Ovis aries: one gene and its partner. The protein of the gene in region 1 interacts with the protein of each later gene in a pairwise test. Links are inferred from orthologs where the notes say so. Each region holds a gene or a part of one and is shown in the gene's direction. Other genes may lie near its edges. The genes, in order: WT1 and WTAP.

Evidence for each region.
Region 2: the proteins of WT1 (region 1) and WTAP interact in binary tests that used the Homo sapiens proteins (3 or more experiments, as listed by UniProt). The link is inferred for Ovis aries from reciprocal best matches to the Homo sapiens genes WT1 and WTAP.

What each region holds. Positions count from the first base shown.
Region 1 is NC_056068.1:61,976,957-61,991,953, reverse strand, and holds the start of WT1 (Wilms tumor protein), read left to right. Parts: upstream 1-5,233; 5' UTR 5,234-5,336; coding exon 5,337-5,382; intron 5,383-6,036; exon of another isoform or gene 6,037-6,087; intron 6,088-6,294; coding exon 6,295-6,417; intron 6,418-6,830; coding exon 6,831-6,933; intron 6,934-7,787; exon of another isoform or gene 7,788-7,887; intron 7,888-14,997. UniProt on the Homo sapiens protein: Transcription factor that plays an important role in cellular development and cell survival. Recognizes and binds to the DNA sequence 5'-GCG(T/G)GGGCG-3'. Regulates the expression of numerous target genes, including EPO.
Region 2 is NC_056061.1:83,753,993-83,768,526, forward strand, and holds part of WTAP (pre-mRNA-splicing regulator WTAP), read left to right. Parts: intron 1-1,311; coding exon 1,312-1,367; intron 1,368-4,646; coding exon 4,647-4,705; intron 4,706-5,977; coding exon 5,978-6,105; intron 6,106-9,600; coding exon 9,601-9,779; intron 9,780-14,534. UniProt on the Homo sapiens protein: Associated component of the WMM complex, a complex that mediates N6-methyladenosine (m6A) methylation of RNAs, a modification that plays a role in the efficiency of mRNA splicing and RNA processing.

The sequences.
Region 1 (14,997 bases):
CCCGGACGGCAGCCCAGGAGCCGGGGCCCCGCCGCCTCCTCGCCGCGATCCTGGACTTCCTCCTGCGGCAAGAGCCGGCGTCCACGTGTGCCCCGGAGCCGGCGTCTTCGCACACGCTCCGGCCCGCGCCTGGGTGCCTTCAGCAGCCCCAGCTGCCGGGGATCCGGGGTCCGGAAAGCATCTGGGCCAAGTTAGGCGAGGCGGAGTCGAGCGCCGAGCGTCTGCAAAGCCGGAGGGCCCGCGGAACGTCCGGGTTTGAGTCCCAGCAGATGGGCTCCGACGTGCGGGACCTGAACGCGCTGCTGCCGGCCGTACCCTCGCTGGGCGGCGGCGGCGGTTGCGCCCTGCCCGTGAGCGGCGCGGCGCAGTGGGCGCCGGTGCTGGACTTTGCGCCCCCGGGCGCCTCGGCTTACGGGTCCTTGGGCGGTCCTGCGCCGCCGCCGGCTCCGCCACCACCCCCACCGCCGCCGCCGCCTCACTCCTTCATCAAACAGGAGCCGAGCTGGGGAGGCGCGGAGCCGCACGAGGAGCAGTGCTTGAGCGCCTTCACCGTCCACTTCTCTGGCCAGTTTACCGGCACCGCTGGAGCCTGTCGCTACGGACCCTTCGGTCCTCCGCCCAGCCAGGCGTCGTCCGGCCAGGCCAGGATGTTCCCCAACGCGCCCTACCTGCCCAGCTGCCTCGAGAGCCAGCCCGCTATTCGCAACCAGGGTAAGCGGGCAGGGGAGCGCCCCCTGCACGCGGGGCGGTGGCCGCTGGGCTGTGACCGCGCGCGGGCACTCCCCTGTCCTACCACTTCCCTGACCACAGCTCTTACCCGGTCGCCTCCCCAAGGACTGTGAGGGTAGAGGAAGCCGCAGCTGGGGGAGACAGGAGGCCCGGGGAGAGGAGGAAGTCCACGGCGTGGGTTCCCGACATCCTCCAGGGCGGGGAACCGGGGAACCGGACCCTTCGCATGAGCCGGGAGGTCATCTGGGGGCCCTTGGACCCCAGGAAATTCCCAGACTATTCCCCGTGGGGATGGGAAGCGGGAACCGGTGCAATGCCTGACTCTGCCTCGGGAAGAGGTTTTGTCGCCTAAGGCACCACCAAACTGTCGGCAAGCATTGGCGTTTTAGGACCCTGGATTCGGAGTCGGACCAGCGCGTGGTGAGCAGCCCTTGCTGCGTCTGCCCGCCAAAAATGCCAGGAGCCCCTCTGGCCCTAATGGAGGCACCATAAGTACCTTGGAGCCCCAGGATGAGTAAATGAATGAGCTGGAGACAAAATAGTGGCTTTCCTAGATCCATGTCCCTGTTTGCGTTTGGCTCCAGTGTATAGTAGTGTAGAAGTGGATAGCTCCTGGGTGCCAGGTCAGGTGCGGCCACGCGGGCTCCAGGGCTGGAGGAGAACCCCGTTTATCCGATTCCAAACCCTGCGCGACAGGGTCCTACCACAGGCGATGAAATGAGGCCAGAGCGCCGGCTTCCTTCCAGCCCGCCTCAGGCGCCTCCTAGTCGTTGAACCCGGGTTGTAGCTGGAGAAAGATTTTTGCAAGACTTGAAAGTTAAAACAAAGAGAGGTTTATTTTCCGTTTTCAGTCCTCGTACAGCAAGGGACACAGCTGTAGGTTTCTCATCTTGAGCCGTCGCCCGCTTTTTCTCAGGGACCAAAGCAGAATCAATTACGCCGAACTTCTGCATTTTATTTTGTTTATTAGACATATGCGCTGTTGTGAACCTAAACCAATTCTGGTTGATTCGATGTTTTAGGAGATGCTTTAAAAACGCAGGAGCGGATGCTTTTCCTAGAGCAAAAATTCGCTCGGGCCTAGGACTAGTCTGTTTTTGGAATGCGTGGGTTGGGAGCAGAAGAGTGCATACTGTTTGCAGGAGGTGCTGGGGCGCCCAAGGAGCGCGGAAGAAGGGCGGTGTTTTTCCCGCTTTCCCGCGCAAGTTCTAAACGCATATCTTCTTTCGCGCGACCCCATTCACACCCAGCCGAGAGCACCTGGCCCGCCAGAAGCTCTGGCGAAACCGAAACCACCCTCTTCTCTTCGTTCGGGGAATCTGGGATTCATGTCCTGTGGAAAACCTCAAACCCACCCATGAGGTCCCTCCACTCTGAGTCTTTCGTGAAGGAAAACTAGTGTTTGGAACTCATGGAGTATTGGAACATCTCAGTGAGGATTGCAGACTCTTGTTCTCTGATCGTACCACATCTAATTAGCACGTTGGTGTAACCTTTGGTAAATCTCCAGGTCTCAGTTTCTCTTTCTTGTAAGAGAGCCAAGACGCCCAACCTGATGTCTGACTCTGGTTTGAAGTTCTATGCTACATAAGTCCGACTCCGCCCCCGCCCCCCAACCCGGGTTCTAAACACAGAAGGCAGCAGCCACCTAAACTTGGTTGGACCTAAAAGAGCAAGACTGGCAGGCAGGTGTATGAGGTGAGTGAGTCTCTGTTTGGTAGTGTGCTATTTGAAGACACCTTAGAAACCATTTAAGTACCCCGTGTGCAAAATACCATTATCATTTTGAGTCCATCTAGGTTCTGTAGGGTTTTTGGAACCAGGACTCTGTGGCTTTGGTTGGGTCCTTGTGTCCAAACTTCTACAGGGTCATCTGATGCCCAGATTTCCATCAACTCAAGTCTCAGGGTTGAGACTGTGGGCTTCCTAGCCAGCCAGCACTACACGTAAGGGGAAAAATCTTAATTCCTCTCTAGAGGATAGGCCTGAGATGTCAAACAGAAAAGGGGCTTGGGAACTGGGGACCACGACTAATAGGTAAAGGAGCCTCCCCCACCCCAACATTCTGGGAAATTGCTCAGTAGAGAGGCCACAGACCCAGGCCACAGCCTGTAAGCTGGTTCCTGTCTTTAGGCTTGGGTTTTCTCTTGTGATGAAAACATAAGGGGTCATGCTTGCCCAGTCTCTGTAAGTCACTTGGCAGCTGGGAGTTGGGGTGGGATGTCAGAAGCCACTCGTGGCTCAGCCCTGGCGTTGGCAACCAGATTGGGCCCTGAGATTTCAGATTTATTCTCTTGATTTCTGGGCTTCCTGCAGCTCCCCCAGGAATGTAGAGTCTTGGCGGGAGGCTTGAGTTGGGGAAAGCAAGGGCAAGAGTTCCTTCCCCACAGCCCATCAGCTGGCCAAGGTCAGTTCCAGGGGAGAGGAGTAAAGATTCTGGATCCCAGTCTCTACGCAGGGCAACCTTCAATGGCTCAGGGAAGGAGACAATTGCTGGCACTCTTGCTTATCTCCCCACTCCAAGGTATCATACCTCAGTTGAGTTTTTTATTAGTTTCTTAATTATACCTGTATTCTAATCTTGCTTATAAATACTCATTCAGGAAACACTTATTGAGCACTTATTCTGTGCCAGGCACTGGAGACTGAATGTTAAGAGAGAATGTCTTATCCTTTGCAAGAAGCTCACAGCCTGACACTGGAGTAAATCTAGACTCTAAGAGATAAGGTGTCCAGGAGATCTCTCTCTGGCCGAACCTGGACCCAAACCCAGACCATTCTAGGCTATTTCAACCTCCGTTTCTAGGGATCTTGGCCTCCATGTTGAGATGGATTTCTTCTTCCCTGCTGGACAGGCACCGAACCCACTGTAGCCTGGATGTGACCCTTGGGGAGTTTGTCAGGAGGGTGAGGACTTGCATTCCCAAACTGAAGTGCGAAGTTTCGGAAGGGAAGAGGAAGACTGCTTGAGAGTCTTGAGCGATTTCCCCAGACCCTCTGACGCTCAGAACCCTATCCCTGGAGGATACCTGGTTATCACTGGGCCACCTATTGTCACAGGGGGACACCAGCACAGCCCTAGGGCCAAGGGCGCCCCCCTCGGGTCGCTTTGGAGAGGGTATTTCGTTGCTAGATAACCTTCCCGTATGCTGCCGCTGCCGCAGCTGCGGAGTCATCATTTTCAACCCTTGGGACCACCTTCCTGATTGAGCCTGCTGTCCCTCCACCCGTCAGCTTCCGCGGGCCATGCTGTTCCCGGACTCCTCCGCTGCGGCGGGCGGGGGAGAGAAGCGCAAAGCGTGTGTCGCTGCTCCACGCGGTCAAGGTTGCACTGCTTTGCCGGGCCGAGAGGAACCGTGGGAAAGGCGCTACCTTGGCCGCTCGAGCCTCTCCCTCTAAGGCCTGTAACAATACAAGGAATCTTTGAACACGCTGTCCCCTTTGGCCGGCAGCTGTCTCTCCTCCGGCCCCCGGCCCCCGCCTCCGCGCTCTCCGCGCTTGGCTCAGTGCAAGGCCCGGGACCACGCGCTCTAATCAGTCCCGCATCCGATAAGCTTCTAATTTAAAGGGCCCTCTCCCCTCCTCTATGAGGGCGCTTTCACCGATGTGCACCCCCTCTCCGGGGATGGGGGCCTTGGGAGCCTCGCGGGGCGCGGAGTTGAGGCAATCCACGCAGGAGCGGCCTCCCGCAACCCCTTGGCCCTCGCCGCGCACCTATGGTGGCGGGGGCCGTCTCCGGGGACAGCACGGTGCTCCGGCCACTGGCTCAGGAATGGAGAAGGGTCCGTCTAGAGACAACTTCTTTGTCGCTCCTGTTTCTCCTCTTTATTTAAAAAACAGTTCTTTCAAAATTCGGCCTTCCCCCTGTAAGACTGGGCGCTCCGAGCCAAATTTCGCTTGTCAGCTGATTGGTAGGCCTCAAACAGCGCGGCCTCCGTTCCCAAAAGGAAGTGCCTGGAAGCGCCAGCGTGCTCACCCACTCCTGACAGCTAGCGGGCCGGGGGTTATCGTTGCCCACTTAGCAGGCCAGAAATAGAGGCCTCTGGGGTCATGCAAATTGCTAAAGCTGGTGGCTTCTTAAGTTGTCAACCTGTGGCGCCAACTGGTGCGAAAGACTTGTACAATTCGTTTATTAAGACCTGCTCCAACCTTCCCTACGGCTCTTTAACACACCACATTCCCCAAAGTGGACTGTAGAAGCTTGGTTATTGTTTTTGGTTTTTTTTGTGTGTGGGGGGGGCGTTTAAAAGACGTGGGTTTTACCTTTCACTATTCAGTCTAAGTCTTCAGGGACGTTTGTTGTAGAGCCCTGATTATGCCTGGGGCAAGAGTTGGAGAATGAGGGTTGTTTGACTCACCCTACTCCCAAGAATTGAGGAGGGGGGGTGGTTGGAGGCTCAGCTCAGTGCAAGAGGCGGGGCCCAGCGAGGGCGGGGTGGGGGGACTGGGTTCAGCCCAGTGGCCCTGCAGGGAGCTGGTGTGAGCTTCTGGACTAATATTCCTCACTTGGCCAGGACCTCAGTTCAGAGACTACGGAGCCCTGCCTCCAGGAAAGGACCCCACCATTGGGTTCAGGACTCAGAACTGATCCTTATCTTAGCTGGAGGATGCTTTTCCCCCAGAGGCAGCTACGGTTTTGCAGAAGCCAGTGGGGTAAATGTTTCAAGTACTTTGGTGACAGTAATCACAGGAGACTACGTTTTTTCAACCACCAACACGCGTTTTTTCCCCCCTCACCTTCGGAAAGCTGGGGAAGAATGCCGCGACATTGCCTTCGGTTTCTCGGCAGGGAAACTGAGGCATTGGACCCCGTGCGTACCATGTATGGAAAGGGAAGTACACTGTCAGGCACACTCTGAAACAAAAAGGTTTCCCGGCCTGGGACGCGAGGAAGTCGGCCCCTACAGTGATGGTCACAGTCCGATCCGCAGGGCGCTAGCTGGGTCGGAGGAAGGACGGAGGAAGGCGCAGGGTCGAGGCCCGCGGGCCCAACTTGAAAGGCCCCCCTTTTTTTCCCCTCACCAGCTTTCCCGAGGGCTTTGGGTGTCAGTGGTGTCGGGTCGCGCAGCCTCAGACAGATAACATTACTCAGTAATTACTCTCCCCCATTTAAAGCCCAGGCCGTTTAACTGGCCCCGAGTAATTAATGAAAGTTGGTGCGCGGGCCTCTGATTTACGGCTCCGAGTCAGCGCCGGGTCAGCCGAGCAGATCCATTGTGGTCGCCCGCCGCTGCCCCTGCGCGAGAACCGCGCTGTTTTGTTTTGGGGGGGAGAACGACTTTCTCCGCCGAGCGGCTGAAAGTTTTCATACTGGCGAGGTTCGGTGCAGAAGCCGCGGACGTCGTGAAAGACAAGGGCGTAAATAAATTGGGAAACTCTGGGGAGGTCTGGAGTTTACTCGGGAAAGGGCGGGGAGCATGAGCCGAAGTCACACTGGGCCCGGCTTCCCTGGGGGCTGATGGGCGCGGGATCTGAATGCGGGGCTGGGTGCTCCTCGCCCGGTTTCTGGTTCCCAGGGTCCCTGACTCCCCGCTGACGCTGTTTCTCTCTCGGCCTCGTCCGCAGGATACAGCACGGTAACCTTCGACGGGACGCCCAGCTACGGTCACACGCCCTCGCACCACGCGGCCCAGTTCCCTAACCACTCTTTCAAGCACGAGGACCCCATGGGCCAGCAGGGCTCGCTGGGTAAGCCGGGGTGGGGGTGGGGGCTTCTCCCCTTCTTCCATGCCACCCCTGCCTCCCCAGGAATTTCCAACCCACAGCAAATTGGGGAAGGGAGAAGAGGACAGCTAGAAGAATTTTAGAAATAGCCTAATCTCAAAAGAAAAGATTGTTTTCCCCCACTCCAAGTCTGTTAGCCCCACTCCGCCGAGACTGCGAATGTCCAGAGGGTCTTTTCCGTGTTCTGTGCGGTGACTGCTTAAAATAAGGTAAAGGGGGAAGCTTAGCTCGCTGTGATCTGGACACCCGTCTCTCGGCACGGCCCGGGCATCCAGGCCCCCGTGCGCCCTGCACAGCCTGGGGGCCCAGCCCCCGCCCGCGGCCCCGCACCCCCAGCCCTCTGCGCGCGCTCACCCGGCCCTCCTGGCTCTCTGCAGGGGAGCCGCAGTACTCCGTGCCGCCCCCAGTCTACGGCTGCCACACGCCCACCGACAGCTGCACAGGCAGCCAGGCCCTGCTGCTGAGGACGCCCTACAGCAGGTAGGAAGGCGCTCCGCACCGGGTCTGGGTCCCCGCGATCCCGGAGGGGGCGCTTGAGCTGGCGGGCCCTGGAGTGCGAGTCCTGGAGGCCACAGGCGCCTCGAACCCACTGGGCTCCCTGAAGCAAATTAAAGCCCATCTCTTGGCTCCTATCTGAAAGACGTAGGTTCCCCGGTCTCCTGGTGGTCTTACTTTGAATATCAATGAGGGCGGTTACCGTTTGGAGCCGAAGAGCGGAACTTTGAGGATTTTATTTTTATTTTTATTGTTTGGGAAGGGCTCTTTGCTGGGAGCACTTCAGCCTCCTCGGGATCAAAGATTAAACCCGGGGTCCACTCCCACCCACTCAGCGAGTTTGTCTCCCTTTTCCAGCCCCCTCCTCGCGCGCTGGACACACTCGCCAGCCTTCTCTGGGACCATTTCGAGGGCGCGTACACTCGAGCCACCACCTTCTCCCCACCCCAGTCCCCCAGAGGCTCGGGTGCGGCAGCGCCCCGCAGCCCCGGACGGGGTGCGGGATTGCAGGCCGGAGGCTGCGGTGTCTCCGGGGAGACAGCTCCAGTCCGCGCCCGCCCTTCTTCCTGATCCCGGGAGGCGGAAAACCAGCTTCTTCTCCCTCCAAGCTCTTTTCCTGTCCTTCGTGCCTCCTCGGCGCTTGCTCCACCCTCCACCTTCTCTTCCCCCAAATTTATTCTTCAACTTTGGGTGAACTTGGCCGGCATCCCGCGTCGCCGATAGGGTTGCCTAGTAACTACACCCGCCGGAGCCGGGAGGGAAGTGGCCGCTCGCGGCCTTTTGAGGCCGGGGATTGGGCGCGCATTACCTCATTTTCCACCCCCTACCCCCGACCCGGTGCTGCGGGGATCCTGATACCGACTGCCCCAGACTCATCTCCATCTTCCCTCCCCTCGTTTGGAAGACCCGGGGCTGACGTCAAGGGAAGGAGGTAGTGAGGTAATGAAGGAAGGAAAAGCGCCTGCCCTGGGAGATTGGTGGAAGGAATGGCCGCGCCTGGGGGCCCTCCAGTCCCACAGGTGGAGGAGGGGAAGGGGGTCTTCGTTTCCGAGCTCACAGCGGCTCATCCCAACCCCAGCGCCCCGGAGTATTTAGGAAACCGAGCCTAGGACACTGGTCTGATTCTCCCATCCTGGAGAGGGACAGGGTCCAGCCCACCTACTTCTCTAGGCCTAGAGTACACAGACTTCGGAAACCTTTCCTTTTGACTGGGGAAATCCGGCATATCTAATCTGATCTTGGATTCAAGATCACGTTTGTTATTTATTTTTTTTTCTTTCTTTACGCCCGACCTTCACTAGATTTTTTTTTTTTTTTAAGGGAGAGAGAGCAGAAAAAAATAAAGCATGTAGTTTGCCCAGGTTCAGGAAGATTTCCTGGAGAAGGGCATGGCAACCCACTCCACTATTCTTGCCTGGAGAATCCCATGGACAGAGGAGTCTTGTGGGTTACAGTCCATCGGGTAGCAAAGAGTCAGGACACTACTGAGCTACTAACACTTGCCCAGGCACAGATTGAATGATCACACCTTCTCATCTTCCTGTCTCCCTCCCTAGCTGGTAGAACCCAGTTCTGTTCTTGGTACAGCAGGCTCAGGGATCTGCTCCGGGCAGACATCTCTGCACTTGCCCTTGGTGGTTCAGCTCACTGGAATGGGTACAGAATCTGAAATATCTGTTGTACAGCACCTCCCCAACCAAAACTGAGATGGTGGGATCATTGCCATCTTTTTTAAGGAGCTGCTTCTGCCTGTTTCCAGATTGGCATTGCTCTTACTCTAGCCTTGGGGTGGGACGGGCTTTGAAATGGTTCCTGGTGGGATGACCTTGGCCCAGTCCTTCCTCCTTGGCTCTTGGTTGATGCCTCACCCCACGCAGAGAGGAAGACCTTGATGCTGGAATGGGTGCTGTTTAAATGGGCTGGGATACCTCCTTGGAGGCTGGGGACTGGGGAGCTTTGGAGTCTGATTCAGTAGTGACACAGCTACACACATTTCTTACTCCCCCCTCTTCCAAGGCTAAGTCCACCATGTGGGTCTCTAAGAAGGGACTGAACAGCCTAGAAAGGAGTCAGGGATAAAGTGATCACAACCTCTGGCTTAACAGCAGTTCTCCAGACTGAGTCCCTGTGGTGGATTTTGACTTTCCACTGAATTTGTGGTTGCTATGAAAGTAGGAAAAGTCACTTGGATTGCCTTTTATACATAAAAAATTTCACATTTTCTAATCCATCTTCTAACTGGCTGCTGTATAAAGCACTTTTGTCAGGTTCATCTTTCAGAGTTATTTGCTTATTCCTTTCTTCTTTCTACATAATTGGAACTTCTTTGCTCACTTTTGTATAAATGTCATAAAAATACCATTTTCTCTTGTTATAGAAAAACTTCTAAGTAATAACATCTCCTGAAAAAAACAATTTGTGACCCCTGTAGGAAAAGTTTGCTCCCTTGAAGTTGGTGCTGCCTGAGTCTTTGAAACTCCATCCACCCTAAATTCACAATATTTCTAATCACCTTTCAAAAATCAGATACTTCCCCTGCAGTAATGATGGATGTACAGGTGTAGGGATGTTTTAGGATATGTGCATCCACTTTACTACTGTTGTGTCATTTCCTTCTTTCCTACTTCTAAAAAAGTTTGAAAGGTTATTTAAATGCTTTTGTGAATACAGGTTTTGAAAAACATAGGAAATGCAACTAAACTTTAATCACTTAGGTATTCAGTGGTCCCTGGCTCTGTTCCCTTTTCTGTCTAACATTGGGACCTTCTGGGAAAGGCTTGCTTGTATTTTTTGAATTTGTATTTTGTTTGCCTTGTTGCACTTGCTAAGGCAGCCTGCCAGGACTCTTTGCCCTGCCCTTCCAAAGCTGCTTCTGTCTCCCCAGTCTTGGATTTAGTCTGGGGTTAGTGTATTTGGTATATACACTGACATTAAAGAAGCACTACACAATGTGAATTTGCTTTGAGAAAATTCTCAAAATTCTCTATTTGGAGAGAACTGTAAAGTGACTCCTCTTTTTCAGGTAACAGATCTGAGGAGGTATAGCTGTATACAGATGTGATGAATAGTGTATAAAAAATGACCCCAGTCTACTTACGGGAAGTGTTAAGAGATCATTTTCTCTGTCTTCTCTGCCCCCCTCACCCCACATATTGAGGGTGGGCAGAGTTTATTCTGAAGGTCATTAAGGATTCTGGAGCCAGATTTCAGCCCTTCTGGAGCCCAGCGATCATAGCTGGGTGAAAGCGCAAGCCCCGATACATCATTGCTAGGCTTTATTGCATATTTTATGCTGTGGCATACTGTGCTACTTGCTCCACTCAAGTGGCTCATTTTAATTCTTCTGATTACCTTTGAGGTTGGTACTCCCATCCCCACTCTGCTAAAGAAGAGATAGATTCAGAGTCTCAGAGTAACTTGCCCAAGTTACCTAGCAATGAGAATCAGAACTAGGATTTGATTCTCAGTCTCTCTTGTCTTTAAAGCCCACAGGGATTCCAGGTCACTCACTGTCCTCCACCTGAAATATTCCTCTTATATAGCACCTTTGCTAATAATTGCTTACATAAGCTTACTACCTCCTGAAACCATTCTAAGCACTTAATCTTACATTTAATCTGTAATTAAATGTAAGACTTACATTTAATCTGAAACTTTGAGAGTTTCAGTAGGTTATCACCCCCATTTTGCAGGGGAGTAAACTGAGGCCCTTGGAGGTGAATTTGCTTGGTAAGACACAGTATGGGACAAAACAGGTGTGAGGCTCTGCATCCATCCTCTCTCCGGCACCTGGCTGCCTGTCCTGATGCTTAAGGGCCCTTTCCTTTCCAAAGGTGCTGTCTGCCCTAGGTCTTGCTCGAGGAAGGTCTTTATTCTGTGAAAGAAACCCCATTATCCTTTCGTTTTATCCATAGTTTTCAATCAAAATCGCTCTGTGGATCAGAGGCAGTATTTTCATCAGTCAGTACTGTAAGAGCTAACTTGAGCTTTCACTCCAAAAAGTCTTTAACTTACAAAGCCTCCGTCTTTCAAACTCCAGACTCCTCTAGCTTTGCCTTTACCAGTAGTGAGAACTAGTGAAGTTCAGTTCAGGCTCCTAAAGAAACACACTGAAATGGCAGAGACCTTCCTCTTCACCCATCCAGACCCAGGGGGAGCAACAGCTTCCAGGGCCTCCCTGATTTTTGCTTGCCCAGAGCAAGGTCTCAGGGAAGGTGGGACCTCCATGCTCCTCTGAGGGGAAGAAGTAGTGAAGTCCAACCCCGCTAAGCACAGTTTTCTCCTGATGGTGACCTACAACAGGCAGCTAGCAGGGCTTTCCCTACTCATGTCCCTTGAATCCTCTTCCACAAGTCCCCTCTCTCCTGCTGCTTGCTGAGCCCCTTAAAGCCAGAAGTCCTTGACCATGCCCATTTCATGGGTTGATTCTCACAGCTACTTTGAAAAGGAGTTCTGGGCCTGCAAAATATTCCCACACGCACTAATCTTTTTAGACATTATAGTTTCCTTTTCATTTTGTTCTTCTACTAGGTTTGCGTATCCATTTTTAGTAACTGTCCTGCCAATTTAAAGGAGAATGCTTATTTCCTTTGGCCCCTTGTCAGATAAAACTTCAAATGCAGAAGCAGTAGTTGCTGATTTGAATACTTTTGATTGAATGGTGACGATTCACCAGAGATGAAGTTGACAGTGGAGTCTGTTACTATATGGATTATCTTTCATGTGAGAGAAGCTTCTAGCAGCTTATAGAGCTTCTGGGGATCTAGTCAGTGGGAAGTACATGATCTGCCATTTAGGTTGGCCTTCAGCGTAGAATTAAATCAGAGAAGAGCTCTCACCTGAAGAAATAATAATAATGTCTCTTTTTACATGTTTGTCTACAAATACTTGATATGCTGTACAAGCTTCACTTAAGACAATACTTGTTTCCCATATAGGTAGACATGAAGGCAGAAAGTTTGAAATGGTTTCCAGGGTGGTGGGCAGTGTTATCAAAGAAAGGTTTGATTTGAACTTGTCTCCAGGGAGCGGGAAAAACCTAGTTTCAAATATTCCTGCAACTTTTGTGCTGATCAAGTGTTTATGAATAGAAGTTAAAGCCCCGGTGGGTTTTTCTTTGGGTCACTGGTGAGCTAGAGAGAAATGACAATACCAAGAGATTGACTGTAAAATGATTATTCACCATGGCCTGCTGGGCAGAAATTATTGAACAGGCCGCCTCCATGGCGCCTCGGAGGGAAGAACGCAGGAAAAGGTCTGTGTGGAAATTTGGCTGCAGCCTCTGTGCATGGGCCTTGGTTATCAGGTAGAAGTGTGGGGCAAAGCTATTACAGAAAACTCTGGGAACTTGAATTCTGAGCACAGATGCCACTTACATATGCCCTTTTCTTATTGGGAGTTTTTTTTCACCCCGGGAAACACTTTTCTTCCACCAAGATGCTTGTTTGCCAGCTGATAACCATCTGGCAGGGGGCTTCCTGGGTGGCTCAGTGGTAAAGAACCTGCCTGCAGTGCAGGAGACGTGAGTTAGATCCCTGGATCAGGAAGATCCCCTGGAAAAGGAAATGACAACCCCCTCCAGTACTCTTGCCTGGGAAATCCCATGGACAGAGGAGTCTGGTGGGCTACAGCCCGAGGGGTCACCAAGAGTCGGACACGACTCAGTGACTAAACAACAACCACCGTCTGGCAGAGGCAACTCAGGTTGTGATCAGTCTTCGGCAGCCCCATTCCAGTGGCAAAAAGAATGTTTCTACCTCATTCTTCTGAATATACTTAAACACACTTAAAGATGAACATGTACTTGAATTACACATGCATTTGAAGAGTGAGGGAGTTCTGGTCCAGATAATAGCAGAGAGCTTTTCTCTTCCTTTCTTTTTGTGCAGAGGTCGAGAACTCAGTAATCCTGCAGTCCAGGCCAAAACAAACTCTATATGATCTACTACTGACTTCCTTTTAAGTTCCCCTTTTTGCTAGGACTGACTTCCTTTTATTTTACTCCAACTTGCATTAATCCCAGTTATAGAAGTTTCTTTCCTCTCTCCCTTGCTTCCAACTTCAAACATTTCTTACATAGGAAACCAGTGACTTTTTTTTTTTTTTAATTTCAAGATCTACTTGAAAGAAAATATAAAAGACACCATGACCATATATTTTGGAATATATTTTGGCAGCTGGCAATTTCAGCGTTCCTTTCCGAGCAGACAGAGTTAGATGGGGAGCTGAAATGCCTACGTGACCGTTGTGGTTGCTGCGAGCCAAACCACCTGCTTATCTGATCTCCTCTGGGAATGAGGTGGCCGACACCTACAGTGGTTATTTAGTAATTAGATGCTTTGTTTGCCAGGGGTCATATATTCCCTAACTGGTGCTGCCTCTTTCTGTGGGGGGGTTTCATGATGAGAGCTGGGTGTTGACCGATCGCCTGAAGAGATCAGAGCTTGGGCCTGGTATTTTTAGCTCAGATTCACATTTTGTCCTCTCCCAGCAGCAGCTATTGTCATTACTGTCATTGACTTCCAGTTGGAAGATGGTGCCAACCAAGCTGCCTGGCTGAGCCACTGAGGAGCCCCAGCCAGCAGAAGGCAGGATGTGGTTAAAATCGTGCTCTGATTCTATGACCAGCCTCAGGAAATCTTTTTTTTTTTTTTTTTCGGTTTTTGCTTGGGAATTTTCTGAAAGCCCTTCTCCTGTGGCTCTTTTCACCTTCTCTCCTCTTAAGAGGATTTGCAGGCTGAACTATCAGGACTACTGAAATCCAGGAGTGGGGGTCCTCTTGGGACCCTGGCATACTATTCTCTTTCACCTCCAGACTCTTGTCTGTACTATTATCATATTGTTTTTTCTGTTGTTTAAATAGCAGTGAGAGAACAAGGCTCAGAGTTCAAATAATGCCAAGAAGCCATTAAAGGGGCGGGGCAGAGTGGAGGTGGGGGCATCAGGCAGGTCAGCACTAGGCAAGTCTTTGAGCCTCAGTTCTCCTTTGATAAATGACGACCATAAGGCAGTCATAAGTATGCCTGCCTCACAGAGTTGTTGTGATGAATATTGGTGATGAATATTGGTGATGTGTGAGTGTACTGTACGAAATCTGATGGACTAGAAAAAGTGAAATATGTTATCTGTGTAGTCTTAAAAGAGTTATTGTTAGAGCTTCTCAACATCCCTGTAAATTTAGACAGATTGAGATTAAAATTCCCATTTAACAGATGAGAAAACTGAGGTGCAGAGATTTGAACTGATTTGCTCAAGGTCCTAAAACTTACAGAGGAACCCTGTTCAGTAGAAACATAATGCAAGTCATCTACTTAATTTGAAGTTTACCAGTAGCCACATTTAAAAAATTAGAAACAGAAAAATTTAAAAACATTCTATTTAACTCCGAAAGCCCAACTCTTACTTAAGCATGTGGCACTCTCCATATTTCAGGTTCTAAACAGCATGTCTCACTAGTGGCTACCTATTAAGCAGTGCAGTAAAGAGGATTTTCAAGCCCCCACTAGGAAGATACATATATAAGGCATAGATTTTGTATTTAAGAAGGTTTGCTTTCTGGGGGCCAAGAAAATGTACTTAAAAACTTACTTTCTCTTTAGGAATCTGTTGGGCTTATTCTTTAAGTCTGTGAGAAAATTCCAGAATCATAAAGTTAGATGTTTGGGACTCATTGACCCATATGTGTAAACTCCTGTCACTCATCTTGCTTCTCAGACCTCTTGAAAATTACAATGTTGTTAGTCTTATGCAAGGATGAAATAATTTCAGAAAGATCTCAATCCCAGTAGGACCTAGGAAAATTGTCAACCGGGGCTGAGTGATTTTAGTTGGTGAACAATTTTTAAAAAATCAGTGACAAAAACAGAGAGCTGCCTGGGGAATACAATGCCTGTTGGCTGAGATTAATGGCAAGATTAATAAATGGATTGCTTGATGAAAAGGCACAGGAGAACAAAAACCAGTAGAGATTGTGGAGGAGGCTGCTTATTAATGAACTGTCAGCCCAAAGAAAGTTCAAGAAACTCTCCTGTGTTAAATGCAGCAGGCTGG
Region 2 (14,534 bases), on another chromosome or scaffold:
GACACACACAAAAGGGGTTACAAAAGGAATAACATTTTCTCAGAGGAATTTATAATGCATTTGGGAAAACAGGAATATGTGCTTTCTAACCAGTGAGTATTTAAGTGAACTATTTATTGGATAGTAAACGTTATGGAAATTTTTATCCTAAAAAGTCAAGTGCTTTAATAATCTGAGAGTTACTGGGTGCTTTCAGTTAGGCTTAGTAATATATTCTGCTGCTACAGTGTTTTTCCCTCTTTTGTTTCTGATAGTAACACTTACATTGTGGCAAATGCTACTATTTGAACCGTTTTTATCAAGAAAAATGTTTTAATAAGGAAAATTAATAAGAATTTTATATTAGGATTGGTTCTTCAGTTTTATAGTCTTCTTTACTTACAGAAAACAATATTTCTCAATTTACAAAGCAGTTTCATCTTATTAGAATATCCTCATCTTTAAAAACTTCACTTTGAAATAATTGTTAATTCATAGTAAGCGGCAAAGACAGGCACAGGGAGGTCTTGTGTACTCTTCACCCAGCCTCCTTTGACGTTAACATCCTGTGTAACATTACCAAAACCAGCAGGCACAGTCTACATGCTCAAATTTCATCAGTTACCTGTACATTCTGTGTGTGTATAGTTCTGTGCAAGTTTATCATTTGTAACTTACTGTAAATACCAGCGCAACCAAAACAGTTACCTGAACCATCACCACAAGCCTCTCTATGCCACTCCTTTCTTTATAGCCACATCCATCCTCTCCCACTCTATCCTCAACTCCTGGCAACCACTAATCATTTCTTCATTTACGTAATTATGCTACTTCACAGATGTTGTATACATGCAATTATGCTGTATTAAGTGTCCTTTCAGTTTTCTCTCAGCATCATTTCCTTGCGCTTTCTCCAAGTTGTATTTGCTGGCGGTCTGTTTCTTTTTATTGCTGAATCATACTTCATGGTATCATAGTCTACCATTCACCTGTTGAAGGACATTTGGGTGGTTTCCAGTTTCTGGCTATTACAAGTAAAGCTGCTGTTAACATTTTTATACAACTTTCTGTGTGAAAATAAATTTCCATTTCTTTGGAATATGTGCTTAAGAGTACAAATGTTGGGTTGTGTGGAACATCCATTTTTAGTTTTAAAAGAAACCACCAAATTACCTCCAGAGCAGCTGTATCATTTTACATTCTCAGCAGCAACATATGAACACTGTTTCTCTGCATCTTCACTCCATATTTGGTATTGCCACTATTTTTTTATTTACTTATTTTAAAACTTTTAGAAAGAGCACTTAGTTTATATCTTAATTCTCTTCGTAGGTTCGACTGAGTGAAACAGACTTCAAAGTTATGGCACGAGATGAATTAATTCTAAGGTAAAATATTCTTTTATCAAAAATATAAAATCTTTCTATAGAGCATTACGTTGTGATTTTATACTATACTGTTTATATCAGATACTGTTGCATTTTTAATGTTAACACATCTTCAAATCATTTAATATACTTTTTTCTATGGCCTGTTTCTTCGTTGTGTAAACATTGGGGAAAGCATAACACTTGAAAGAACTAAAGCACTAGCTTGGGTAACTTGTAGGCTGACAAGTAACCTGAATTTTTTTCCTGTAGAGGGCACATATTCAGAACTCTAACTAGAGAAGCATTTGTACTTCATGTATATAACTTGGTATGGGGAAAGACACTGCTCTCAGAAAGCTTTCAGTTTAACAAATGAATAGACTTGTTTTGATGTTTCTGTTTTTTTTTTCCCCCTTTTCCATGTAACATGTGGAAAAGTTGTAGCCTTCAAGGATATTTTTCTCATGAAAGAAATACATTATTAAAAAAAAAGAGAGAAATACATTATTTACTGATGAAGCGAAGTTACTCGTCTTGTGACTGTGACTTTAGTCACCATTATATCCTTCATTTTTTTATCTGCAAGTTTAAAGAGTTGGATTTAATTACTTTTAAAGACGACATCCAGCTCCGAATTTCTATGGTTGTCTTAAAAATGTCTTACTAAAGCAGACAGTCAGGTACAGCATTATATTACTCATTTTTTAAATGTGAGAAATCAGAAAATGGGATCACACATTTGTGTTTTACAACTTAAATGTATTCTTTCTGCATTTTATCACTGTCGTAAGTTTTTTATGAAATAACTTTTAGATACAAATTAATGCTTTTCAGGGTAGGCTGCAAGTTTATTGAGCTTTTTCCTCTAGAAATTTCAGGGAATGTTTACTTGCTGAACTGAGTAAATGTAACGGGTTGGAAGTGGGGGGAGAGTAAAGGTGGTTTGGGCTCAGTGGTAGAAAATCTGCCTGCCAGAGCGGGAGGTGTGGGGTCGATCCCCAGGTCGGGAGCATCCGCAGAGGAGGAAATGGCAGCCTACTGTAGTACGTTTTCCTGGGAAATCCCATGGACAGAGGAGTCTGGCAGCCTACAGTCGATGGGGTTGCGAAGAGTCAGACGCAACTTAGTGACCTAGCACACACGCATACACAACAGGGAGACACAGACGGCGTGCTCCATTGTTAGTTAAGAGTCTGGTAGCTAGTTCTGCTTAGCGCCTCTATTGTGGACGTGCTCTTTCTCTTTCTTTGCCATCGTCTCATGCATAGGATAGTTTTCCTGTTGCATACCTTTATATTCCTGCACATAAAATTTAAATACTTAGCATTTTAAATCACTCTCGCTGTTTTTGCTGATGTAGATGCTCGTGACACACTGCTCGTGTGTTGGTGTTCTCTTTCTGTCTCTGGTATGGTTATGACTTTTAAGTAGTTTTTTTCCTATCTTCTCGATAAGGATGTTTGCGGTTGAGCTTTTGTATTTGTCTTTTCTTCTAAAATCTTTAACCTTCATAGAACATCTTTTTTCATCCCGAAACGTTGAATGAACTCCTGTTTGTGACCTTTGTTGTAGATGCCATAAAAATAAGCATGCCCTTGGCTTTGTCTTTATATAGAATGGATTAGTTTGATATTATGGAATGTTTTTGTTCATTATGTTATAATGTTTATGAATCTCGTAACTCGTCAAAGGTTTTAAAAATTATAAAAATATTTTCTAAAATCTAAATTTTGATTAGGTGTAACTGAAGAGCAGCTTGAAAACATATTTCTTCAGCAAGCAAGGTAGCAGACAGCTTACTGTCCGGAGCAATTGCTTAAACATAAGACTAGGGAAGGTTTGTTATCTGCAGTAGTTGCCTAGATCAACTAGGTGTGTGTGTGTGTGTGTGTGTATGTATGTGTGTGTGTGCGTGCGCGCTCAGTTGTATCCGACCCCATAGATTGTAGTCCACCAGGCTCCTCTTTCCATGGGATTATCCCATCAAGAATACTGGATGGGTTGCCATTTCCTTCGCCAGAAGATCTTCAGATCTTCCTGACCCAGGGATGGAACTTCAAACTCCTGCATTTGCAGGCGGATTCTTCACCACTGAGCTACCTGGGAAGCCCTGAGAGGTTGTTTTTTTTTTTTTAATGGCTACACTGGGTCTTTGTTGCTTCATGCAGGCTTTCTCTAGTTGAGGAGAGCGGGGGCTACTCGCTGTTTTGGTACACAGGCTTCTCATTGCAGTGTCTTCTGTCATGTAGAGCACAGGCTCTAGGCGAGTGCAGCACACGGGTTCTAGAGAGTGAGCTCAGTAGTTGCGGCCCATGGGCTTAGTTGCTCTGAGGTGGTGGGATCTTCATGGATCTGGAATCAAAGTCGTGTCCCCTGCATTGGTAGGCAGATTCTTACCCACTGCGCCACCAAGGAAGTCCTAAAGCCTATATATTGAAGGTAGAGGAATGCAATGAAGAAAGATCCAGATAGCGTATGGCACTTAATGCAAGTTGTTTCTGCCAGTTAGATATGCTTTTGAAAAACAGTATGTTCTGTTTTTTATAATGTACAAAAAGGACAGATCCCCTTTTTTATTACTTTGAGAGAAATCACATACTACTTTCATGTAAGAGCTGAGATCACCTTCAGTCCCTTAGAATTAGGCACATTTTTAAAATGCCTTTTGTTTGAGGTGGACAGCATATCTGAAAAGTGGTGGTAAGTTTTTCGTTTACCTTTTATCATCCAGGCATCATGCTGAACATCAGTGATACACTGTCCTGTATGGTGTGTGATCTGACTCATGGGAACACCTCTTGTTATATACTCAGCAGAGAACACTTTTCTCTATATTTCCATTTATCTAACGCCTATAAGGTCAAGAAGGAATAATTTTAAAGTGACTAATTTATTATGGTTTATTATGGGTTAAACTAGATTTATAATTATCTTAAAATAATATGTGTGTGCATGTACACTCATTCATGTCTGATTCTTTGCAGCCCCATGGACTGTAAGTCTGCCAGGCTTCTCTGTCCCTGAGATTTCCCAGGCAAAAATACTGAAATGGGTTGCCATTTCCCACGACAAGGGATCTTCCTGACTGAGGGATTGAACTGGAGTCTCTTGTGTCTCCTACATTGACAGGCGGGTTCTTTACACTAGTGCCACCTGGGAAGCCCCTGTTAAAATGAGAGAGACATTAAAATCCACACAGTGGAGTTCTTCGTAAAATATAAAGTTAATGGATGTGATTTTCTAGTGTATTTAGTAAAAGCAGTTTAAACATAACTAATGTGGCTTTATTTTTATTAGGTGGAAACAGTATGAAGCATATGTGCAAGCTTTGGAGGGCAAGTACACAGATCTCAACTGTAAGTTAGAGCTTCAGCTTCCTAAGGACTATGTGAATATTCCCTTTTAGATTGTTGTTATAAGCATAGTTGGTTTTGCTAAGTAATTTTTATTCGAGGATTTTATTAAGGACCTATGTCCAGGCACTGAGTTTGGTGCTAGGAAGTAGAATGATGAAGGAGACGTGATCTCTCTTTTAGTTAACAGTCATTGGAGAAGACTGACATATAGTAACATCACTTAACAGTAGCATGACTTCAAACTGAACGACAAGGTTCTGAGAGTGCACAGATAGGGAAATTCACAACTACTTGACACTTTGCTTAATGTAGCCCTTCCACAGAAAAATTTGAAGTGAAGCATGAGTTATTACTCTAGCAGGGGGGAATGTAGAAGCAACCAGTATTACATTTATGATAGCTTAAATTGTAACAATAGGATATAGCTGTGTATTTATGGATTTTTCAAAAATCTACTGAAAATAATAAAGTTTATAATTTTAGACCATTTTAGTCTTTGTCACTTTTCACTGAGTTTTAGAGTAACATATTATTTGCGAGTGTAAAAACCAGTACAGTTTTCCAAGTTCAGAAAGATTAATATTTTAAGATCTCAATTATTGTATAATTACAGTATAATCCATAGAAGTTGTGAATGGTGGTGTTTAATGGCTGAGTCATGTCTGATTCGTTTGTGACTGCATGGACTATAGCCCTCCAGGCGCTTTCTGTCAGTGAGATTTCCCAGGCAAGAATACTGGAGTGGGTTGCCATTTCCTACTCCAGGAAATCTTCCCAACCCAGGGATTGAACCCGCATCGCCTGCATTGGCAGGTGGATTCTTTACCAGTGAGCCAACCAGGGAAACCCCTGTGAAAGCTTAAAATTAATAATTAGCTGTGCAGTTATGGGCATGTTTATATTGATTAGGTTAAACAATACTAATCAGGACTTTGTGAATACTTGGTAGTGTAAACAAACGCAAATAATGGAATTTCCTGTCTTTTTTGGGAACAGATTAGACTATAACAGCATAATTCCATCTAGCGTTAAGTGGTTGTGGACCCGTTTAACACCACTAACTCTTGAAAAAACACTCATGATCAAGAATGAAGTTTGTTGTCATAAAAGTTTAGGATAGAAACTAAAGACTTGAACTTCTTTGCCTTGACAGTTTTTTAACCTTATTTTCCTTGACAAAGGGAGTCAGAACTTTAATTTGGTTAATTCAGTTTGATCTTCAAATTATGTTTCATGATGTTTGGGATTTTTTTTTTTCCTTTTAATCATCAGCTAATGATGTAACTGGCTTAAGGGAATCTGAAGAAAAACTAAAGCAGCAGCAGCAAGAATCTGCACGCAGGGAAAACATTCTTGTAATGCGACTAGCAACCAAGGAGCAAGAAATGCAAGAGTGTACTGTAAGTGTTTCAGATGTTTCAAGCCTTTATCAGGGTTTGGGTTTTGGTTCACATTATTTTATGTGTTAACTCACATTAATTTTAATAATTAATACTAATTATACATGCACATTTTGTTAAGGTAGATATGTTTTGAGCTTCAATGTGCTAAATGTAAAATTCTGATAGATAACTTCTCATCATTGGATTTAAAGTAGTTTTTGTGGCCAAGAAGTCAGAAGTTTAAGTTATTCTCTGAAATCTCTATGAGAATTAGTATATTGGTTCATATATCTTGAAGTAACATAATACCTGAGGGTATAAGCACCATTTACTCATTTTACTTGGCAGGCTTTCTTGTTAATTTCTCCTTTTCTGTCTTTACCTCTTTCTACAGAAAACTAAGTATCAACTTCTACTGTGTCTTCTTTTAATTGTTAACACCTTTCATTTGTACTGTTTGCCATGTCTACATATATCTGAAACCTAGTGACATATTTGATCCTTTGACCCTGGTTGAATTTAGACTCAGTTTTGTCTTCAATAGCCTTAGCCCTTGTTTTAGTGTTTGTATATGTAAGTTACATAAGATAGAGGCAACTCTATCCCTGTTGTTTTTTATTACTTTTTTTTTTCCCCCCATTTTCGGGCCATGCCACGCAGCTTGTGGAATCAGACTTCCCCGATAGCTCAGTTGCTAGAGAATCTGCCTGCAGTGCAGGAGTCCCCAGTTTGATTCCTGGGTTGGGAAGATCCCCTGGAGAAGGGATGGGCTACCCCCTCGAGTATTCTTGGGCTTCACTGGTGGCTCAGCTGGTAAAGAATCCACCTGCAATGTGGGAGACCTGGGTTCAATCCCTGGGTTTGGAAGATCCCCTGGAGAAGGGAAAGGCTACCCACTCCAATATTCTGGCCTGAAGAAGTCCATGGACTATATAGTCCATGGGGTCACAAAGAGTCGGACACAACTGAGCAACTTTCACTTTAAACCAGGAACTGAACCCAGGCCTCTGCAGTGAAAACGTTGAGTCTTAACCTCTGTGCCACAAAGGAATTCCCTGTTGTTTCTAATCTTAAAAGCTGTAGTTTTCTTGAATAATTTTGTGTAATTTCCATTTGATAGATAGTTATTAAAATATAATGCATAAGGCAGTATTCTGGTCATTGGAGGTTAATAATCTATGGGGCACACTTCTATTTCTTTTCCTTCTCTCACCAATAAAATGTTCTTTAGGACTTAGTCACAGTCTTTATTCTTCCTGTGTCCACATTTGCACAAGTCTTCAGTCCTTTCTTCACTTTTTCGAAATGACTTTACCTATTACTTTGCTAAAGAAAAGAGTAGCCTCTTTTATTGTCTGTATCTTCTCAGTGCTTCTTTTGTTTCTACCAGTTACTTTCCACCTTCACTGCCACTACATTTTTTCTGTAAGGTCATTGTATTAAGAAAATTCTCTTTCTCATCACTTTTATGTCTTCACTTTCCCCAGCTTTGGCTTTTGGCATTCCTTCTTTTGATTTTTTTTTTTTTAACTTGGGTACTTGGTTCAAAGAAGTCTTAACAACATTCTTGTATAAGGGGTTTTGTTTTGTTTTCTGTGACACCCCTCCAATTTTTTTCCTCTTGGGATTTTCACATCTAGTGGTATGAGTAGTACTACTCAAGTGCTGAGTCCCAAAACCAGTTAATTCTTTCTTTTCCTGATATTTAGGATTCTAGGTTCAACCCTTCACTCACTGTTAGTTTTAGGTTTCCCTGTTGACACGGCACTGTGCTAGATGCTAACACATGCAAAGGATGGATCTTAACTTCCAGATGCAGGCACCTGGTAGGTAATGTGAGTGGGTGGTGCCAATGATAGTGTCTCACAAAACCAGTGTGTCTTGATTTCTGCCTCTTGAGTCCTCCCTACTCTTGACATCCTAGTCCAGGCACTTCTGAACCACTTAACCTGGACAGTATGTGCTGTTGATTCACCTCAGCGATTCTACAGCCATCCCACATACACTGGCAGTTTTGATCATTTTATTCCTAATCTAAGCCTTTGGTGCTGCCTCTTCACCCTTCTGTCATCTCAACAGAGATTTAAGATTTTTTTTCCAAGTAGAACCTAACTTACCAGCCACATTTTTTTTTAATAACTCTTCTCTGCACATCTCAGCCGAAGCACTTACTGATCTTTCAGTTAGAACACAGTGAGGTTTTGCAGAAAGGGCAGCAGGAGCAAAAATCACAAGGAAGTGGCAAGCTTATAGTAGCAGATAAGGGCATTTCATTTTGTGAACTTTTAAAATTCCTTAAGCTAAAAGAAAGAAAATTAGTTCTGTTTGCTTGATGAAGTAGTAATTAAGTATAGCCTAATCCTCTTAGTATATTTGTATCTTTTACTAAATTCATATTAGACATTAATAGCTGTTTTGGAAATGTTATTTTTAATCCTATTTAAGGTTTAGAATGGAGTAGGATCTTGAACCTGATCTACTTTGGGTGCGAAGAAAGTGATGCATTTAATGCTAATAAACTGTATTTCCTATTTTAAAACTGTGCTGACAGTACAACCAGAGTTGAAATTGAAGGTTTCATATATAAGTAGACGGATTTGGTGTGGTGGGAAAAGCCTTAGACTGGGAGTCAGGAAGCTTGAGAATAAGAATTCTAGTTCCAGTACTGGCATTGAACTAACTGTGTCCTTGAACAATTGGCTTCTTTAATCTCTCAAAACTAAGCAGTTTGGACCAGGTCAGTCACCTTTCAGCTTTACAGTGCTGTGATTCAAGTCTGCTTGGAGGGAAAAAAGTGAATATATGCTTAATTTTGGGTTAAGGTGCTATTTATAAAGCTGTAATGCCAGCTCATGTAAATATGTAAGTACTATGTATTTTTAAATTTAGAAATGCAAATATGTTTTAAGTTGTAATCTTGTACTTGGTATAATGTTAGGGAATAGTTTCCCAAAAGCACAGATTTGTATGAGTAAATCACTATACTCTTATTAAATAATTAATATTTTAAACTTTGCCCTTTTTTTCCCCCAGTGGGCATCAGCATTTTAAATAAATACAGCAGCGGGGTTTTTTTGCTTGTTTTTTTGTACTGTTTTGATTGCCAACATGTAGTCTCCTTATATTTAAAGTTTCCAAATATGGAATGCAGTCAAATGGCCTTTTTTCCTACGTGGATAACTTTAAATAGTTTTGTGAGTGTTCTTTTTTGTGGTTGTTTTTTTTGCTATGTTTTGGGAGGTTTTTTTTGCTGCAAGTCTTCTGGTATATTACTTCCCTGACCAGGTATTGAAATCAAGCGCTGGCAGTGAGAGCAACTGAGTCCTAACCGCTAGATTGCCAGGGAATTCCTAAATAGTTCTTAATTTGTACTTTGTTTTAGAGGATTTTAAGATAGAAGGGAGAGGGGCTTAGTAAGCAAGTTGGTAAACCAGTGAAAAAGGGATTTTATCTCATCATCTTAGGTATGTTTCCTTTGATTTGGTAGTAATGGGGTCTTTTTGCTTTGCACAGACTCAGATCCAGTACCTCAAGCAAGTCCAGCAGCCTAGCGTTGCACAACTGAGATCAACAATGGTGGACCCAGCGATCAACTTGTTATTCCTAAAAATGAAAAGTGAACTGGAACAGACTAAAGACAAACTGGAACAAGCCCAAAATGAACTGAGTGCCTGGAAGTTTACGCCTGATAGGTAAACAAATCATACTCCCCAGTCAAGACTTCCCTGACAGTCCCACTGCGAGAAAGCTGTGGTGGGACAGCCACGTACTCGTTTCCACACCAAGACTCAGACTTTTTGAGCCAAAAAGCCACATTCTTATACTATCCAGCTTGTAAAGGTTAATGTAAAACTTACCAGATGAACCTTGTGTTTCAGCTTTTTTCTCTTCCCCTTCCCCTTGCTTCAGAGGCTGATGGCGTCGGACTATTCCGAAGAAGTGGCCACCTCCGAAAAATTCCCCTTCTAGAACATGTAGACACTTGAGAAATGTTTCTGTTTGAAGAAAATACAGGGAGAAACAGAAGTCTTAAGTCTGTGGCACACTGTGTCTTCAGACAGTTTGGAGGAATGAAAACCTAGAGATTTAAAACCATGAATTGAACATGTAAAATTCCAGTAAATGTAAAGATGGAATATGCATCGCTCTTAACCTTGAGCATAGTGACTTAGAGACACTGTATATCAGTTTTGCCAATAAGACCGTGGACTTCGTGATTGTTGTTGAACTTCTGGGTCACACTCAAATGAGGTGAATTTTGCCTTTAAAGGGTTTATTTGCTAAGAACCAACTTAATAGTCATGAGTGAATCAAATAATAGATGTCAGTACAAGTAGTTCATCTATTTAACCATTTCGTTTGGGGCTCTATATTACTTGATTGAGCCTTAAATCAGTGTGGTTTTACTCAATGATTTGTTCTTTGAATGGTTGCTAATACTGTAGATAATCTTACCGAGGACTGTACAAACATGAAGGTGTGGTGTCAAACTTCAGGTTTTAAACTGTTTGAAGCGTTATAAACATTCATTTCACAACTAGATTGTATAAGGATATTGGCTGTGATGAGACTCACTGCGTTATTTTTTTCAGTAGTGAAATTGATTAAATCCCCATTCCATTCAACAGGCACATGTTGAAAGAGCATTGTCGTTGGTGTTAATGGGGGAATGTGTTCCTTCATTGTATTTGGGCCTTTTGTATTGCACTTTTGATATTAAATTAAATGTGCCTTGAAATAGTTGTTTTTTTTTTTTTTTTAAGTTCAAGGATTACTATGATGATTTTGTTGTACTTTTAACATTTTGATTGGGGGGCGCTGTGGAGAGCAGATTGATTCAAAAAAATTGTTGGTGTGCTCTTCAAAGTGAAGGAGAAAGCTCTGTGTCTCATTTTTTAAAGACCTACTTTTTTCCAGCTGGTATCATAAAAAAACAAAGAGACTTGACACTTGTTGCTTTTTGACACCTTGTCCCAGGATATTGCAGTAGAAATTAATGTGGGACAGCTTTACAGGGTGCCTGCCAGAAGATTGGGGACAGAATATATTGGAACTGTGGGCTGGCCTAAGTGAGACATTTTATGAATTGAAAAAAAAAGTATAGTGATCATTTCTAGCAAATTCATTTGCTCATTTAGATAAATGAGGCATTATTTTCTTCATGCTTCCATCCAATCCTGGAGGTGAATTTTTCCGTCAGATCATTCTATAAGTCACCAATTCGAATTTTCACTTGGTGATAATGGAGTCTAAGATGAGTGAAGATAAAATGTTCCAGATTTTCCCAGCGTTTAAGTGCAGTTTTAACAAGGGTGACTTAAGTTCTCTCTTAAATCATTCCAATCAATTGTAAGTATCTCGTATGTCTGTACTTGAGGGAACTGATTGTGGGGCAGAGGGCGGGTTGAAGAAGTGGTTTGTGTGACTTCACAGCAAGAAATCCGCTTCTAAGATTCTCACTGTGGGGGTTGGAGGGTAAGTAACCACATCTATTTGAAATTAGCTTATTGTACCCGAATTAAGGCTTTTGTATATATTTTATGCCATTAAAGATCACAGTAGAAATGGGCTACATATTTTCAGTAGGTCGAGATAATTCATAAAAGGTATTATGTACTCAGATTTAGCCAAGCATTTTTCTTTTGCCACTTAAGTAACAGTCACATTGAGGTGGGTTTTTTTCTTCTTATTGTTAAAAAACGTTTAATTAATAAGATAACACATGCTCATGTATAAGATTGAAACAGCGAAAAGTCGAGGTGTAAAATAAGTTTTACTCCTGGGTGACCTTCCCCTTCCCCTTTCTGTTCCCCAGGAATAGTGACCATTTTTAAATTTCTTGGGTATCAAGATAATTTGTATGCATTTACAGTAACTATATGTGTATTGGTTTTAATCAAATGCGGACATGCATATGTATATACAGATGATTTGTAGCATGACTTTCCCCAGGCCCCCTTTATCCTTGGACTTTTTCTCCATTTCTTAGTATATTTAGGTTACTTACCATTTTTAATGGTTGTATAATATTTTCATTGTATTATTTTAACCACCTATAAATGGAATTTTGTAAAAAGTGAATTATAAGCTAGAGTTCATTGGGTGGTACAACTGCATCATTAATTTGAAACAAACAGTGCTCCGTCAATACTCTGTCTGCAATAATTCAAATAGAATGGGTTGTGTGGGTTTTGTTTTTCACTTTTTCATTGTTTAAATTTTGAGAGAATGATCCCCTGAATTATGTTGTCCACTTTAGTTAAAATATTTCATACCCTGATAGTGTGTATATTTTAGAATAGTTACAGGGAGATGTTGCAGAATTTTGACAGTTTTCAGCTTGCATTTATAAACAGTTGTGTGTGTATACTTTCAGAATACCCTCATCCCTTCCCCTTGATAACAAAGCAGTGTACAGTATCTGTTCCTTCTCTTAAATTACTTGCTACTTTTTTCTTTGTGAGTTATTTGATTTTTAGCAATAGGTTAGAATATTTTTTAATTAAAAAAAAAATTACTCCAGAGCCGAGTTCCTTGAAATTGGATTCTTACCATTTTTTGTGATATAATGAACACAACACAAATTTTATACAACAGTAAAGTGGCATAAAATTAAAGAATGTTTAAAGAAAAGATTCAGTGAAGATTTGTTTTAATTATTTTAGAAGTGATAGGATTCTTTTAGAACATTCATTAAAAGGCGTGACTTCATAAATGAAATATTTTTTCATTAGTATTTGGTACTTTCTAGGAGGTTAAGTCAGGTCACAAATTGCTCTATTGATTTTACAATTGTTTGTGTTTAAAAAATTGATATAAAAGATTTCTCAGGTTAGTTGGTAAACTGACGTTTTCACAAGAAAGCAGAGTTGGGGGAAGCATAGGCAGTGAAGTGGAAGGAAGGCCACTGTCTGTGATGATAGTGCCTGTTTCTCAATTCCTCATTTGGTTTCTAAACTCTTATTCAGTAGAGGGTAAAGTCTGAGGATGCTAATAGGAAATACAGGAAATCTGGAGCTGTGATGACAACAAACAGATACCAGCTGATAAGTTGCCATGTCGAGAGAGAACCCTTCCCACATGCTAACTCATTTTCATATGAGGCTGCTTTGTGCAATAGTAAGCCAGGTTTTGGGCTTCCCTGGTGGCTCAATGGTAAAGAATCCCCTGCCAATGCAAGAGATGCAGATTCGATCCCTGGGTGGGGAAGATCCCCTGAAGAAGGAAATGGCAACCCACTCCAGCTTTCTCGCCTGGAAAACCCCATGGACAGGGGAGCCTCGTGGGCTACAGTCCATGGGGTCACAAAAGAGTCAGATACGGCTTAGTGACTAAACACCACCAACAACCACCACCAGGTTTTACTTCAGATTTGTGTAAGGAAAATATATCACAAACGTTCACTTGAATCACATTGGGTTAAAACGTGCTATTGATAAAAGAACCTTCCATCACAAACCCCAATAACAGTGTCTCAGTAAAACTTTACTGCTTTTGTTTAGTGTCAGCATTAACAATAGAAATGATCACTTTTTTAAAGAGTTCTGATTTAAGCATACAATTGTGATGTTACCTTAGAGACTTGGAAAGGGACAGTTTGATATTCTTACCATAAAGTTGAGAATGATCTTACTGATTAAAATTTTTTTTGCTGACACTGTTCTTTTAATGGGCTTTGATTTGCCCGATACATTACTTCACAATACATCTTCTTCTTATTAGTAATATATAGAGGATGAACCTTGATTGATTTTTGCAATTGCTGTATATATGTATGTAGAAAGTATGGCAGTCCTAATTTGGCAGATATTCACATATTTGCATTATTTATGCTAAGTAACCCCAATCTTATTTTTGTGTCCTAATTAAGGATAATCTTTTCAACATGAATAAAATCTTCACCGTATATCAGCATTAAAATTTCAAAAACATATCCCAGTTTAAGACAGCTCAAATATATATATATACATATATATATCATATAAAGTTAATTGCGGGATTGATAAATAGAAATAGTCTTGAGTCTTTTTAAAAACAATTACTGAACAGGCCTCTCTTAATGCGATAAACATTCTTGTGGGAACTGCCTATTAACAGGTATCCTTACAAACACTGGTCTAGCAAGAATTTACTCTCATCTGTGTATTTATAGGTACTGATTTTATATATTAGGTAGAAGTTTACATTTGGGGTTGATGTTGCATTTACCCTTTCAAGAACTTTTCTGTTTCATAAAACTAAGTACCTTAGAGTTGTATTAATATTGATATATTTGAAATGTGTGTCAAATAACTGGCCTGTTTCTATTTCAAATTATAATTTGGGATAAAAGTAGATTTCAGAATCAATTATAATGTAATAGAAACAGAAAGTAGTCACTTAGGTACTTTTTCTTCAGGTTTTATCTTTGCCGCTGTATTGGCAAAATACTGAAATGTACAAGATGG